Linked DNA regions of Macaca mulatta. Each later gene encodes a partner of the first gene's protein in a complex. Links are inferred from orthologs where the notes say so. Each region holds a gene or a part of one and is shown in the gene's direction. Other genes may lie near its edges.

Evidence for each region. Proteins that work in one complex are often made in the same cells at the same time.
Region 2: the proteins of GNAI3 (region 1) and RGS2 are in contact, whole or in part, in a crystal structure (PDB 2V4Z), measured with the Homo sapiens proteins. The link is inferred for Macaca mulatta from reciprocal best matches to the Homo sapiens genes GNAI3 and RGS2. Residues at the interface, in NP_006487.1 of Homo sapiens: Val179, Lys180, Thr181, Thr182, Gly183, Ile184, Val185, Gln204, Ser206, Glu207, Lys209, Lys210, His213, Ala235, Glu236, Asp237, Glu238; in NP_002914.1 of Homo sapiens: Glu104, Phe105, Glu108, Asn109, Glu143, Ala144, Pro145, Glu147, Ile148, Asn149, Asp151, Phe152, Leu180, Asn183, Ser185, Arg188.
Region 3: the proteins of GNAI3 (region 1) and CASR are in contact, whole or in part, in a cryo-EM structure (PDB 8SZH), measured with the Homo sapiens proteins. The link is inferred for Macaca mulatta from reciprocal best matches to the Homo sapiens genes GNAI3 and CASR. Residues at the interface, in NP_006487.1 of Homo sapiens: Ala31, Lys32, Gln304, Glu308, Lys314, Asp315, Thr316, Lys317, Glu318, Ile319, Tyr320, Thr321, Phe334, Asp337, Ala338, Thr340, Asp341, Ile343, Ile344, Lys345, Asn347, Leu348, Glu350, Cys351, Gly352, Leu353, Tyr354; in NP_000379.3 of Homo sapiens: Lys644, Ala645, Asn647, Arg701, Val702, Val705, Phe706, Ala708, Lys709, Pro711, Thr712, Arg716, Trp719, Phe801, Ile869, Val872, Arg873, Thr876, Ala877, Ala880, Phe881, Lys882, Val883, Ala884, Ala885, Arg886.

The regions. Positions count from the first base shown.
Region 1 is NC_133406.1:130,609,444-130,612,994, reverse strand, and holds the end of GNAI3 (guanine nucleotide-binding protein G(i) subunit alpha-3), read left to right. Parts: exon of another isoform or gene 1-12; intron 13-414; coding exon 415-605; 3' UTR 606-627; intron 628-717; 3' UTR 718-3,050; downstream 3,051-3,551. UniProt on the Homo sapiens protein: Heterotrimeric guanine nucleotide-binding proteins (G proteins) function as transducers downstream of G protein-coupled receptors (GPCRs) in numerous signaling cascades.
Region 2 is NC_133406.1:50,335,208-50,339,462, forward strand, and holds the start of RGS2 (regulator of G-protein signaling 2), read left to right. Parts: upstream 1-1,427; 5' UTR 1,428-1,445; coding exon 1,446-1,555; intron 1,556-2,548; coding exon 2,549-2,650; intron 2,651-2,752; coding exon 2,753-2,814; intron 2,815-3,380; coding exon 3,381-3,547; intron 3,548-3,801; coding exon 3,802-3,996; 3' UTR 3,997-4,255. UniProt on the Homo sapiens protein: Regulates G protein-coupled receptor signaling cascades. Inhibits signal transduction by increasing the GTPase activity of G protein alpha subunits, thereby driving them into their inactive GDP-bound form.
Region 3 is NC_133407.1:161,582,631-161,586,931, reverse strand, and holds the start of CASR (extracellular calcium-sensing receptor), read left to right. Parts: upstream 1-1,473; 5' UTR 1,474-2,144; intron 2,145-2,261; exon of another isoform or gene 2,262-2,510; intron 2,511-4,301. UniProt on the Homo sapiens protein: G-protein-coupled receptor that senses changes in the extracellular concentration of calcium ions and plays a key role in maintaining calcium homeostasis.

The DNA.
Region 1 (3,551 bases):
CGAAGTGAGCACTACCCTGTTGAATTTTTATTCCAAGATCACTCCAAGGAACACAGCCTCTCTCAGACCTTTGAAGCAGTTGTGTTCCCTAGAAATGCACCTTCCTACTTTCCTAGTTTCCCTTTATACTTTCTAGATTTTTTTTAGCTGAAAAGTCTAAATGAAAGGGTAAAGAGAAACAACGTTATGTTTTCTTCAATCTTTGTGTGTGATGATTTTATTTTAGTTACCATGAGAGTCTACTCTCATGAAGAACCTAATTATAGAAACATCTAATGATTATAGAAATAGAGAATTCTATTCATATTTAATTGGGTTATGTTTCCTCTCCATAAGTAAATGGTAATGGTCTGACTTAGTTGAGTTCAGGCAGCTGTTACAATTTGAACTGAGAGTACGGGGTGTCTGTTTTAGGTTCCAATACATATGAAGAGGCAGCTGCCTATATTCAATGCCAGTTTGAAGATCTGAACAGAAGAAAAGATACCAAGGAGATCTACACTCACTTCACCTGTGCCACAGACACGAAGAATGTGCAGTTTGTTTTTGATGCTGTTACAGATGTCATCATTAAAAACAACTTAAAGGAATGTGGACTTTATTGAAAAGCATGGATGTTAGTGAAAGGTAAAGTTTCATACAAGGTAGTTATAGTGCTATAGTGATGTCTGTTAGCTTTGTAAAGTTTTTCTAATTAAGAATCTTCTTCTCTTCTAGTTACTACAGTGTGGAGTGTTGAGACCAGACACCTTTTGCTGTCTTACGGGGCAGCTACAAGCATGAACGGGACCAGGGAATGGCAGCAGCATGCAGAATCTTAGCACTCTTTAGCACAATCTTCTATATTAGGGAACTTTTAATTGACATGAGATGCTAAAGTCAGACATTGGAATTGGAAGAACTGTAAAGTGTGATTTGATCATCAAGACATCACTTGGATTTCTTAATCTTAAATGCTTATGGAAGATGTGAAGTTGAGGTGCTGCATTCTAGAACTTCAATATGTAGCTTACTCTTTTTTTCCCCCTTCTTAACAAACCACCAGTGGTTCATTTTTAGGGTTTTTTCATCAAGAGAAGAATAACTTTACTAAATTTTATTTCTTTATTTGCAAAAGAATCTTTATTAAAACACAATGTTAACTATGCACATGATGTGACCAGATCATCTTGAAAATATTCCTCTTTAGTAGGAACTCTTTGTTTGTAACTCTTGGTGTGGTCAGAATATAATACTTCCATAATTACTTATAATTCTTTCCAGTTACTGGGGCTATGCATACAACTTTTTTGATGAAATTTATGTTATTATCCTGCTCAAAGTACCATTATGGTTTCCATATGGTAATTACATTGGAAAGTTCTGCAATAAGATTCTAGTTCTCTCTTTTCTTTAAGCTTATGGTTGAAGGTTAACTTTGTTTATGCAGATTACCAAATTACTGCTGTGATGTAGTATGATAAAGTCAGCTTCTTGGATACAGACATGCCCGGGACAGCTGCCAATCAGAAATGCAAATTGCTAAATTCCAAACAGAACCAGTGACTTTGCTGCTACATATTTACTAAATTGACCACTTTGATTCTTGCTTGTTTGTCTCAGTTATAGGGAGTTTTGTACAAGGTGCCTCTTGTTTTCCATCTTCATGGCCTTTTCTGTTGAGAGACATCTAAAGTGTATTAACAGTGCATGCTTTTACTTTGTAAATGTGGTGCCAAATCCCTGTTTGCCATCGTTTTTACTGTAGCAATGTTAACTGTAGTAATCCTTAGTCAGTATGTTCTTTTGCTGAAACTGTTGCATTTTGGGACTTTTTTCCACTTTGTCATGTGTACATTTTTAATCTGTTATAGTTGGCAGCAGTATTAAAATGGTGAGTAAAGAGCCCAGGTTTGCTCCTGTTTGTAACTAGTCTTTAATGGAAATACTGTCTTCTGTTTCCTTTTGCCTTTGCAGAATGTGTTTTAGCCTTTGTCTGAGAATGGGTTTAGGTAGAAGGGTTTCCTGAAGGTCTAGTCCTTTGGTGTAATAGTATTGTTGAACCTTAGGTTTTATGTTATATCTGCATACAAGTGAATGTGATCATCATTCATTTTGCAGATTTACATTTTGCTTGTGTGGAGAGTTATATTCACTTCAACCTACAGACCCTTTTGTATAATGTACAGCAAATGTCATTAAATATTGAATGCTCTATTGGGGGAAGACAAATGAAGAGAATGCATTTTGAGCATTTCAAATCAAAAGTTTGAGCAGTGCCTTTTGGGGTCCAATGTTTTCGGATTGGATTCTATATCATCTTTTGATGTGACCTTTCACTAGTTTACAGAAAAAGGTTGGTGTCAACAAAAAAGCAAGTCATAGCAGTTCAGTGCCTTTGTTGGTTGTTTTTAACTTTTTTTCTGATTCTTTTTGGAAAATCATAGCTTACAGATGGTATAACTGTATTATATAATGAAATTTCCTTTAGATTTGGGAAAACTTGATCTGAAAGAAAATTATCAGCTTCAGTTGGTGATTGATTCAATGCCCACAATGTAAACAGGGTTGGTAGTTCTTACTCATTTTGAATATATCTTTTCCTTATTGTATTCTGTAATATAGGATCATCTGGAAACGAGAACTGGTGGAATATTATTTTCAACTTTAGTCTTTCTATATTGTGGACTAATGGAATGGTGTTATTGATAATCTAAAATAACCAATAATCCAAAAAAGTTCATTTTATTTTGAATTTGTATTTTCATTTGAATATCTATCTGATATGTTAAATTTTTAGCCCTTCTGTTAAAGAAAAATAGCAGGTCCCCATTTTCTGCCTTTGTACCATTTACATTTGCTCTCTGTTTGTTTACATGAAGATCACTTTTATTTCACCATCCCAAATAACTTATCTAAATGCACATTCCTTGAGGACACAGGGAGACAATTTAAGTCAGTGGTCTTTAATATGACTTAAGTAAAAATCACTTGGACCCATCTAAGAGATTGACTTTTGGCTGGTGGGCTGGCAATCGATTTTTTTTTTTTTTTTTTTTTTTTGAGACGGAGTCTCGCTCTGTTGCCCAGGCTGGAGTGCAGTGGCGCTATCTTGGCTCACTGCAAGCGCCGCCTCCCAGGTTCACACCATTCTCCTGCTGGGACTACAGGTGCCTGCCACCACGCCCAGCTAATTTTTTTGTATGTTTTAGTAGAAACGGTGTTTCACCGTGTTAGCCAGGATGCTCTTGATCTCCTGACCTCATGATCCACCCGCCTCGACCTCCCAAAGTGCTGGATTACAGGTGTGAGCCAGCGCACCCGGCCGGCAATTTATAATTTTTAAAAGGTGATTTTGATTACCAGTCAGGCTTGAAAATCACTGGTTTGTATTGAAACAAAAGATATTTTCTTGTAGCAGGGCTAAAATGTGAGATGAAACATTAAATCTACTAGCCTGAAAAAAAATTTCGGCATTTGTAGTCAAAGAAGCTAAAAGTTGCCTTGTGTGTTTCCTCTGGAGAATGCTGGAGATTTGTGATGGACAATGTTTCAGAATTCAGGTGCCTATG
Region 2 (4,255 bases), about 80 Mb from region 1:
TACATGATTTTCCTCTCCACAATAAAGTCCACAACTGTTGTCTTAAATAACTGCAGGTTTTGCCCTCTAAGTCAAACTTGGAGCTCCAACTACTGGCAGCTCACCGTAAGAATATATTAACTATTTCCAATTTTCTTTTAACAAGTCGAATACTATCTAGAGAAAATATCTGCAGCTTGGTTGCAAAGCCGCTTAAACATTTCATTGGCTAGTTCTGGTAATATTGTACGAAATCAACTCATTTTGTGGTTGAGGTAATCTATTTGTTTTTACCAATCAAGTCGTTTTAAAACCTTCAGGAGTAGAGATGATACTTGAAGAATTAACAAAAAACTTAATGAAGGAAACTGTTAACTCCTCCTTCCCCCTACTTTTTGCCAGTTATTAAAAGTTCTGGTAAATCCTAACTCAAAACAAGAATGACTCATGAGGAAATCCTGACTCCTTGAACTCATGATTCTAGTGCATTACAGCTCTGAAATATCTGTGTCTCCAGCTTTCTCTCCCACCATAAGGAAACTTGTGATTTCCATTTTGGCAGATGTGACCAAGGGCTCCTGAGGAATGACCCTATAGACAGACCCAGCCACTTGCCTAGTAGTGATCAAAAATGCAAATCCAATTAAAGCACTGTCTTCTGATAAAGTCACCTTCTCTTGTTCAATCCCTAATGTTCATTCCCAACGTGTTTCAAGACGCCCCAGCAAGCTGCAGAGCAGGTCCCACCCTGCCCCCGGGCAGTCAACGTTTCAGGTTACACCTTCCTTAAATTAAGTGGCAGAGAGAAACGGGGGAGGGTCTCCCCGTAGCCTCAGTTCATTGACCAGGGTGTGTCGAATGAGTCCCTACAGTAGGACAGCAAACAAGAAATGAGGCGCGGGGTCAGGGAACGCGCTCAAAAAAAGAAGAAAAATCCCACTCTTCATTCAAAATCAGGCCACTGAACTCCGGCCTCGCGGCGGGCGACCTCCTCCTGCCAGGGAATCGCCGCTCTGGCCTGGGGCTGGGGAGCCCGTCAGGGTGGGTGGGTGAGGGAGCGACGTAGCCTCCGCCAGGCCGCAGCCAACTTCGGCTCTCTCCCTCCGCCGCAAGCCCCCGCCTGGCCACCACGCTTCAGCAAAAGGTCGTGGGCAACAGCCCACACTGAAAAGTCCCTGTCTGCTCGCACGCCGGCCCCAGCTGGCCGCTGCTATGTAGTCCGAGTGCGCAAGAAGCCCGGGCCGCAGACGTCAGCAGCGCCCTGGCTTCCAGACCCTTCGGCGTTAACCGAGACTGCCGCTGGCGGGCGCTGACCCCCATCCCAGTGCCCGTTTGCAACCAACCAATCCGCGTCCTCTTGAGGCGGGGCCGGAGCCGCGAAGCCCCGCCCCCAAGTCGCGGCTTCTTATAAAAGCTGCGACGCACGCCCAGCAGCCAACAGCCGCGGCCCCAGCGGGAGGACGATAATGCAAAGTGCTATGTTCTTGGCTGTTCAACACGACTGCAGACCTATGGACACTAGCGCTGGCAGCGGCCACAAGAGCGAGGAGAAGCGGGAAAAGATGAAACGGACCCTGTGAGTATGGCTTTCTTCCCTCTCCCGCCACCCCTGCCACACACTGCGAGCTGCAAACGCGGTACTTTGGGCTCGGCTTTGATGTTAGGAAACTAGCCCGAGCCTCTGCAGGGGAAAAAAAAAATCGAAAAGGTCAGTTTGTTAAGGTTAAATCTGGGTGATGCTCGGGTAGAGTTTAGGAACCGAGGGAGATAGTTGATATGAGGGCCGTGGTGGATGCGCTAAGAAATTGCGGGTTGGCTTTTTGTCCTCCTGCATTCAAAATGACATCAGAATCCTGCGGCTGAAGCGCGTCCCCAGCATGCATACGTTGCATGATGAGTTCTCATCAGCTTACACAGCTCCTGGAAGGAGATGCTCTTGCTGGTTGTGAATATACTCGTTTAAAATCCATTTTTGTTTTTTAATTATAGAGCAGATCTCACCCAGTCATGAATGTGGAACAAATAATTGTTCTGCAGCGTCTGCTTAAAAGAAGTGTTGTAGGTGGGGAAGGAAGAGCGCAGGGGAATCAGTCACCCACCTCCTTGTACACTGTCTCTGGCATGCTCCAGAACCTCTTGCTCTAAAGAGAGAAGCGTGGGCCGGCTCCAGACAGTTCCACGTCTGTCCTTTTCATTAAATTGTAAAACCCCTCGGAATTGTAATTAACCTTGCAAACAAACTGATGCCCTTTGTGAGCCAGAAATAGTATCTGCCTTTTGAACTAAATTCATTAACAATTCTTTAAAATACCCTAGTGATTGTAGGTAGCCCTGCCCTTAGTTGTAAAACTAGTAGATACGATCAGTTTAATGGATGAAACTGCTCAGTACATGAGGTTTAAATGTTAAGTGGATAAGACTGTTATTTGAAGAGTTCTTGCTTTGCCTTATGCGGTTTGTCTCTAGTTACTGGGTGACTTTATTTGGTAAAAATGCGTTCAGCTGCAGTAGCATATTCAAGTGTTGCTACTTAGTGATTATCTTTTTTAAATTTTTTTGTTTGTTTTAGTTTAAAAGATTGGAAGACCCGTTTGAGCTACTTCTTGCAAAATTCCTCTACTCCTGGGAAACCCAAAACCGGCAAAAAAAGCAAACAACAAGCTTTCATCAAGTAAGTTGAGAATCCTGTACTTGCAAATGTTAATAGTTAGTTGCTGAACTGAAAAGGGGAACTCTGATGTGCATAAGCTAACATGCAGAACCTCTCTTGCAGACCTTCTCCTGAGGAAGCACAGCTGTGGTCAGAAGCATTTGACGAGCTGCTAGCTAGCAAATGTAAGTTAACTCTTGAACTTTAGCCATTGCTAATATTGCAAAAGCCTGCAAAGGCTGGGTCCACACAACAAAAGAGCAGCTTGCCTGAGGGGGATTAGACTGCAGTCACTATTGGATAAAGCCTGTTTTTCTCTCCTTTATTTCCCAGGGTTTAACCATGGAAATAAATGCATGTATTTCCTCCAGGTGGGGAAGAAAATCAGCCTAAAAAAATTAAAGTGGCAGTTGCTTATAGTTAAGGTTGAGTCAGTTTTTCCATTGCATACAATGTTTTCAAGAGGCTTAGTTCCCAGAGAATTTATGTCTCCCCTATAAATATTTACTTTGCATTGACAGCAAAGTACTTATATTTTTGCAGCAGAGGGCCAACATAAGCATTTTGCCTACTGGTATCTTCGTCTTTAAAAAGCTAAATTTTGAGAATTACAGGTTTAAGCGAAATCTAGAAAATTGCTGTCATTTAGAAATAATTAAAATGTGAGGGAGAAGTACTAGGAGAAACATAAAGAATCATTTGGTCACTCGGTTCTTCACATTCTGCATGCTTTCTTTTCTCCCCCCTTCAGATGGTCTTGCTGCATTCAGGGCTTTTTTAAAGTCGGAATTCTGTGAAGAAAATATTGAATTCTGGCTGGCCTGTGAAGACTTCAAAAAAACCAAATCACCCCAAAAATTGTCCTCAAAAGCAAGGAAAATATATACTGATTTTATAGAAAAGGAAGCTCCAAAAGAGGTAAGGAAACAAGTTCCTAAACTGAGCACAATCTGGACATTTTTAGCACAAAAGTGAAACAAAATAAGGGCAAAGTGGGGCTAGAAGGAGGGGTAAAAAGTCCCCCCATGTTGTAGCTTTCAGTTATGTTAAAGTTCTTCTGTGACTTAGGTAGTAAAGCTAATCACACATAATTTTTATTTTTTGTTTTCAAATACTAAATTTTAATCTTTAACTCTGAACACCAAATAAACAACTTTTTTGTTTTATTTCAGATAAACATAGATTTTCAAACCAAAACTCTGATTGCCCAGAATATACAAGAAGCTACAAGTGGCTGCTTCACAACTGCCCAGAAAAGGGTATACAGCTTGATGGAGAACAACTCTTATCCCCGTTTCTTGGAGTCAGAATTCTACCAGGACTTGTGTAAAAAGCCTCAAATCACCACAGAGCCTCATGCTACATGAAATGTAAAAGGGAGCCCAGAAATGGAGGACATTTCATTCTTTTTCCTAAGGGGAAAGACTGACCTGCCATAAAGACTGACCTTGAATTCAGCCTGGGTGTTCAGGAAACATCGCTCAGAACTATTGATTCAAAGCTGGGTAGTGAATCAGGAAGCCAGTAACTGACTAGGAGAAGCTGGTATCAGAACAGCTTCCCTCACTGTGTACAGAACGCAAGAAGGGAATAGGTGGTCTGAACGTGGTGTCTCACTCTGAAAAG
Region 3 (4,301 bases), on another chromosome or scaffold:
AGTGGAAAACTATGTCTATTGGAACCTAACTGCATAAGGGGATGGAAGAGAAAGTGATGATATTAAATTCTACTTAGGAGTTGTTGCCTAGCAAAGGTTCTGAGCGAGAGGCAAGCTCTCTCTTTGTTAAAACAGGAGATTACCAAGTATTATACAGGGGTGCAAAGACAAATACCACAAAAATGATACTCCTTCCTTTGACATAATCCATAGGAACAAAAGAAGTGAAGGGCATATCTTTTTTCACCTTGTGATCCACTGTTATCTAATTTTATTGTCTGTGTACCACCCAATACCATGCTTCCAATCTCTACTGGAAGATGTACACACTGGGACACACTGGTAAAGTGATCAAGCACCAGGACTGTAAGTCAAACTGATTTGGTTCAGCTCTTGGCTCTGCCAACTCCTAGCAGCCCAACCCTAAATACTGGAAACTGTATGCATAGTTTCTTCATCTTTACAATGGAAGCAATAATAGATCTTCAGAGTAATGCTTTCTTAAAGATAGTGCTCAGATTTGGACATTATGCCCAGGTGTAACCTGACCATTGAAGAGGATGAGTTCAGCCTAAGATTGCAGCCTCATTCAGGTTTTGAACTGAACTCATTCAGCCTTTGGGTGTTCACAAGGTTGTGCTTGTAGCCAACTAAAATAAAATCTAAGGTATTTTGATGTAGAGCACTACTGAGCCACATCCCCCATTACCAACTTGTATTGCTAGGTGTTTCGGCCTGAGGGAGGACTTCACGTTTATTCCTATTAACTAGATTTTCCTCCTTCCCTGGTTCTTTGGCATTTGCTCAGCTCCTTCTCCTACGCTGTATTTGAGGGAAAGGAAGCCAAATGGGTAGAATTGGGCCATAATGAGGATGTGTTTGACATGCTGGATTTGAGTCTGTGTTCCATTGAAGAAAAGAAATGGAAACTTTGTTGAGTATCCATTCTATACTAGGCACTTTCCTTGACTATTTCATTGAACACTCCAAGGACCCCTTGAGGTAGATGTTATGGCCGATTTGCAGAGAAGAAATCTGCATTTTTATTTGAAGTTATTAAACATGGGTAAATGACCCAATTTTCTGCTTTTTGCTTAACAATAATTTGCAAACATTTTATCATGTTACTTCATGTTTCCCTTTTTTGCTTTATAAATAAATACATACTCCCTCCTTATTCTAAAAAGAATTTGAAGCACTTCTGTCTTGATGTTTATCATTTTAACGGTTGTATAATATCCCATTAAGTCACCCTAATTTACTCAACCAGTTTCCTACTGTTGACAGTTTGGCTCTGTTTACTTTTTGTGGTTTTTAAATTTTTTTTCTGTAGTAAATGATCCTCCTAAAAAACATCTCCGCATGAATGTTATTTTGTTCTGGAAATTTCCCCAAGCATGGAATACTGCATTAAAGGGGATATTTTTGGTGTTTCTTTATAGAGACTAGCAAATTGCCCACCCAAAGGAGTATGCTTTATTTGAGGGTAAAAAGCCAAACACACACACACACACGCAAATGGTTTTCTACAAAAGAAATTAATTTTCCACTTATTCATAAAATATTCTAGTGCTGTGATGGGTGGCAGGCACCTTGCCAGGGGCTAGGGACAAGGATAAGCAAGGCCAGGTCGGGGCCTCCAAGCAGCGAGCTGTGGAGTCGGGTAGAACAGGCGCCTGGCTGCAGCCAGGGAGGATCGCGCGCCCTTTCGCGCAGGAGAGTGGAAGCAGGGAGCTGTTTGTCAGCACCGAGGTAACGCTTGACCTGAGTCTTGCACAATAAGTAAGAGTTTGGGCACGCGATTTGTATTTATTTTATTGTGAATCTCTGGCCTTATATCAGAAAAAAAAAAATTGTGCCACCCTCGGCACAGAGAACGTTGGTGGCGTCGTAAGCCCTCTAAGTCTCTTTTCATCGCCAAGGAGTAGGGGTCCGGGAAGAGGACCTCCCCGACAGCAGGCAGCAGGAACAGGATTTGGGAGCCGGGAACCCCTGGCTCGGCACGGAAGAGGGCAGGAGAGGACCTGAGCGCGGGGCTCACCGTCTGCTGGGGACCCGAGCCGGCGTGTGGCCCTCGGGGAACGGAAGACGCGCCCTCAGCGACCCTGAAGAGTCAGCTAAGCTATCTGCGGGCTAAGGAGACGGTGAGGGAACGGGGACTAACTGGGGTGGGGGTTAGAGGGCAGCTCGCGAGTGGGCTCCAAGGGGAGCTGGGCTCAGCAGTCCGGGACCCCGAGGGGGCAAGCGGGCGGGGAGCACGAGAGGGGCGGAGCTCCGGGGCCGGGGCAGCCGCGGCTGCCCAGAGGGTCTGCGGGGGCTGCTGCGGCCGGTCCCGAAGGCGGGCGCAGGGAGTGCAGTGAGCCATGCACACCTCTCCGAGACCGTGACCTTCGCATAGGGAGCAGGGTCCGCGCGCCGTCCGGAGATCAGACACAAGCCCAGCCTCGTGAAGACCCACGGCCGAGGGGCTGGAGCTGCCTCTGTGCGAGGGAGCCCTGGCCAAGGCGCTGGTAGGACCAGGGAACCCGAGGAGGGCGGGCAGAAAGCGCCCCCAGTGGGGGAGGGGCCGTGGCGGGGTCTGGGGGCCAAGGGCTCGGGGCCGAACGAGGGGCACACGCCGGAGCAGCTCCAGCCTGGGAGCATTGGGCGTGAACGTGGGGGAAAGTAGGGACCACATTATAGGATCAAGGCTTTCCCCGGCTCAGAACTGGACTGTTCAGTGTCCCCTAGAAGGGGCAGCGGGTCACCTACGCCAATGAACGGGAGTGCACACCAAAACGCCTGCTGTCGGTAGTTTCTTGTGCCTCTGCCTTGCTTCTGCCTGTGATGTAGTCAGAAAGGACTCGCTCTCCATGTGTTAACAAGGGGACAGGTAGCTTCACAGAGTGTATGAATATGGAGGGGAGGGCCACGGCGTCAGCTCTGGCCCCAGGGGCCGTCAGTGTCCCTGCAGAATTCCTGGTCCAAGCCGCCAGAATTCCTTGGGGACTTTGCTTCAGTGGCATCAAATTAGACTGTCAGTTCCCGGGGCCTGATCACCAGCCTCCGTATGTATTTCCTGGGGAGAAAAAGCATACCAGACTGATGGAGTCTTATCATTATTTTAACATTCTAGCTTTCAATAGATAACATGCATATATTTATTTTTTAAGTCAAATAATACAAACATTTATCTTCTAGAGGCACTGCCTGCACTAGCATGTGTCTATTGCTATCTCCTTTCTATACTCATAGCCTTTCACACTCTACATGTTCTGTCGCCGTCTTTTGATTCTTTAGCCAGAAAATGATGTCACCACCACTGCCCACATCCTTTAATCTCCAGTGTTCCTTCTCGCAACGCCTATCTTGTCCTCAAATGTTTTTCACAAGGTGTTCCTCAGGGTAGGGAGCCCACTAACGAGAAGACATTTCATTTACTTGCTTCAACTATCCCAGAGATCTGAAGAAAAGGCACATTGGGGAACAGTCCATGACAAGTTCTAAACACACCTATCTTTCCCCTTAAACTGGATCTTCCAAGTGCATTTAGGTAGTCTGTTATTGAGAGGAAATAATGCAGGCTGTTTTCTGAAATGCTCTGGATTTCCAGAACTTAACACCACAGTAGTTCCTATTCCTTAAAACAGAACTTCATCAGTCACACCTTGCTGTTGCTTTTCCCGTCTCCACTCCAGGATCCCCTAACTGGTCTGCCTAGGATTTTTTCCTCTGTAGGAACCTGGGACACTGGGTGCTTTATACCTGCCTGGGAGGTGTTCCATGAAGGGCCTGAGGGACAAAGCTTTGTGGTGGACAAGGTGGGAGGGGAAGATGTAGGGGAAGTTGGAGGGGAAGTAGGAAGGAAGAAGCAGGCCAAGACCCTTGAGTGCAGAAGACTCCTCAAGCACAGAGCCCTGTCATTTAGGAACAGTCCCCATATAATTTGCTAAGAGACCACACATGCAGGTTACTTCCTGCCAACAATCAGTACAGTCAGCTCTGTTTCAAGACTTCTATGTTAGGCCAAAACATAGTAAGTGAAAACAATCAGCAAATCAACCAGTTTTTGTCTCTATGATAAAACAGAGTGGTTGAAACTAAATTAATTTAAAAAATTTTTTTACTGAATTAGCGGGTTCTTTAGGAGCTGTGTCCATTGTTTAAAATCACCTAATAGGTACTCCAGTCTCCACATTTTTCCTTTATTTTGTTTATCTTTTCATATTGCATAACCTTGAACTGGATCCCAACCATGTCAGAAAGTTCAGGCTGATTAGAAGCTGCCGCTTCTAAGACTTTTTGGTGGGAGAGAGTGGGGA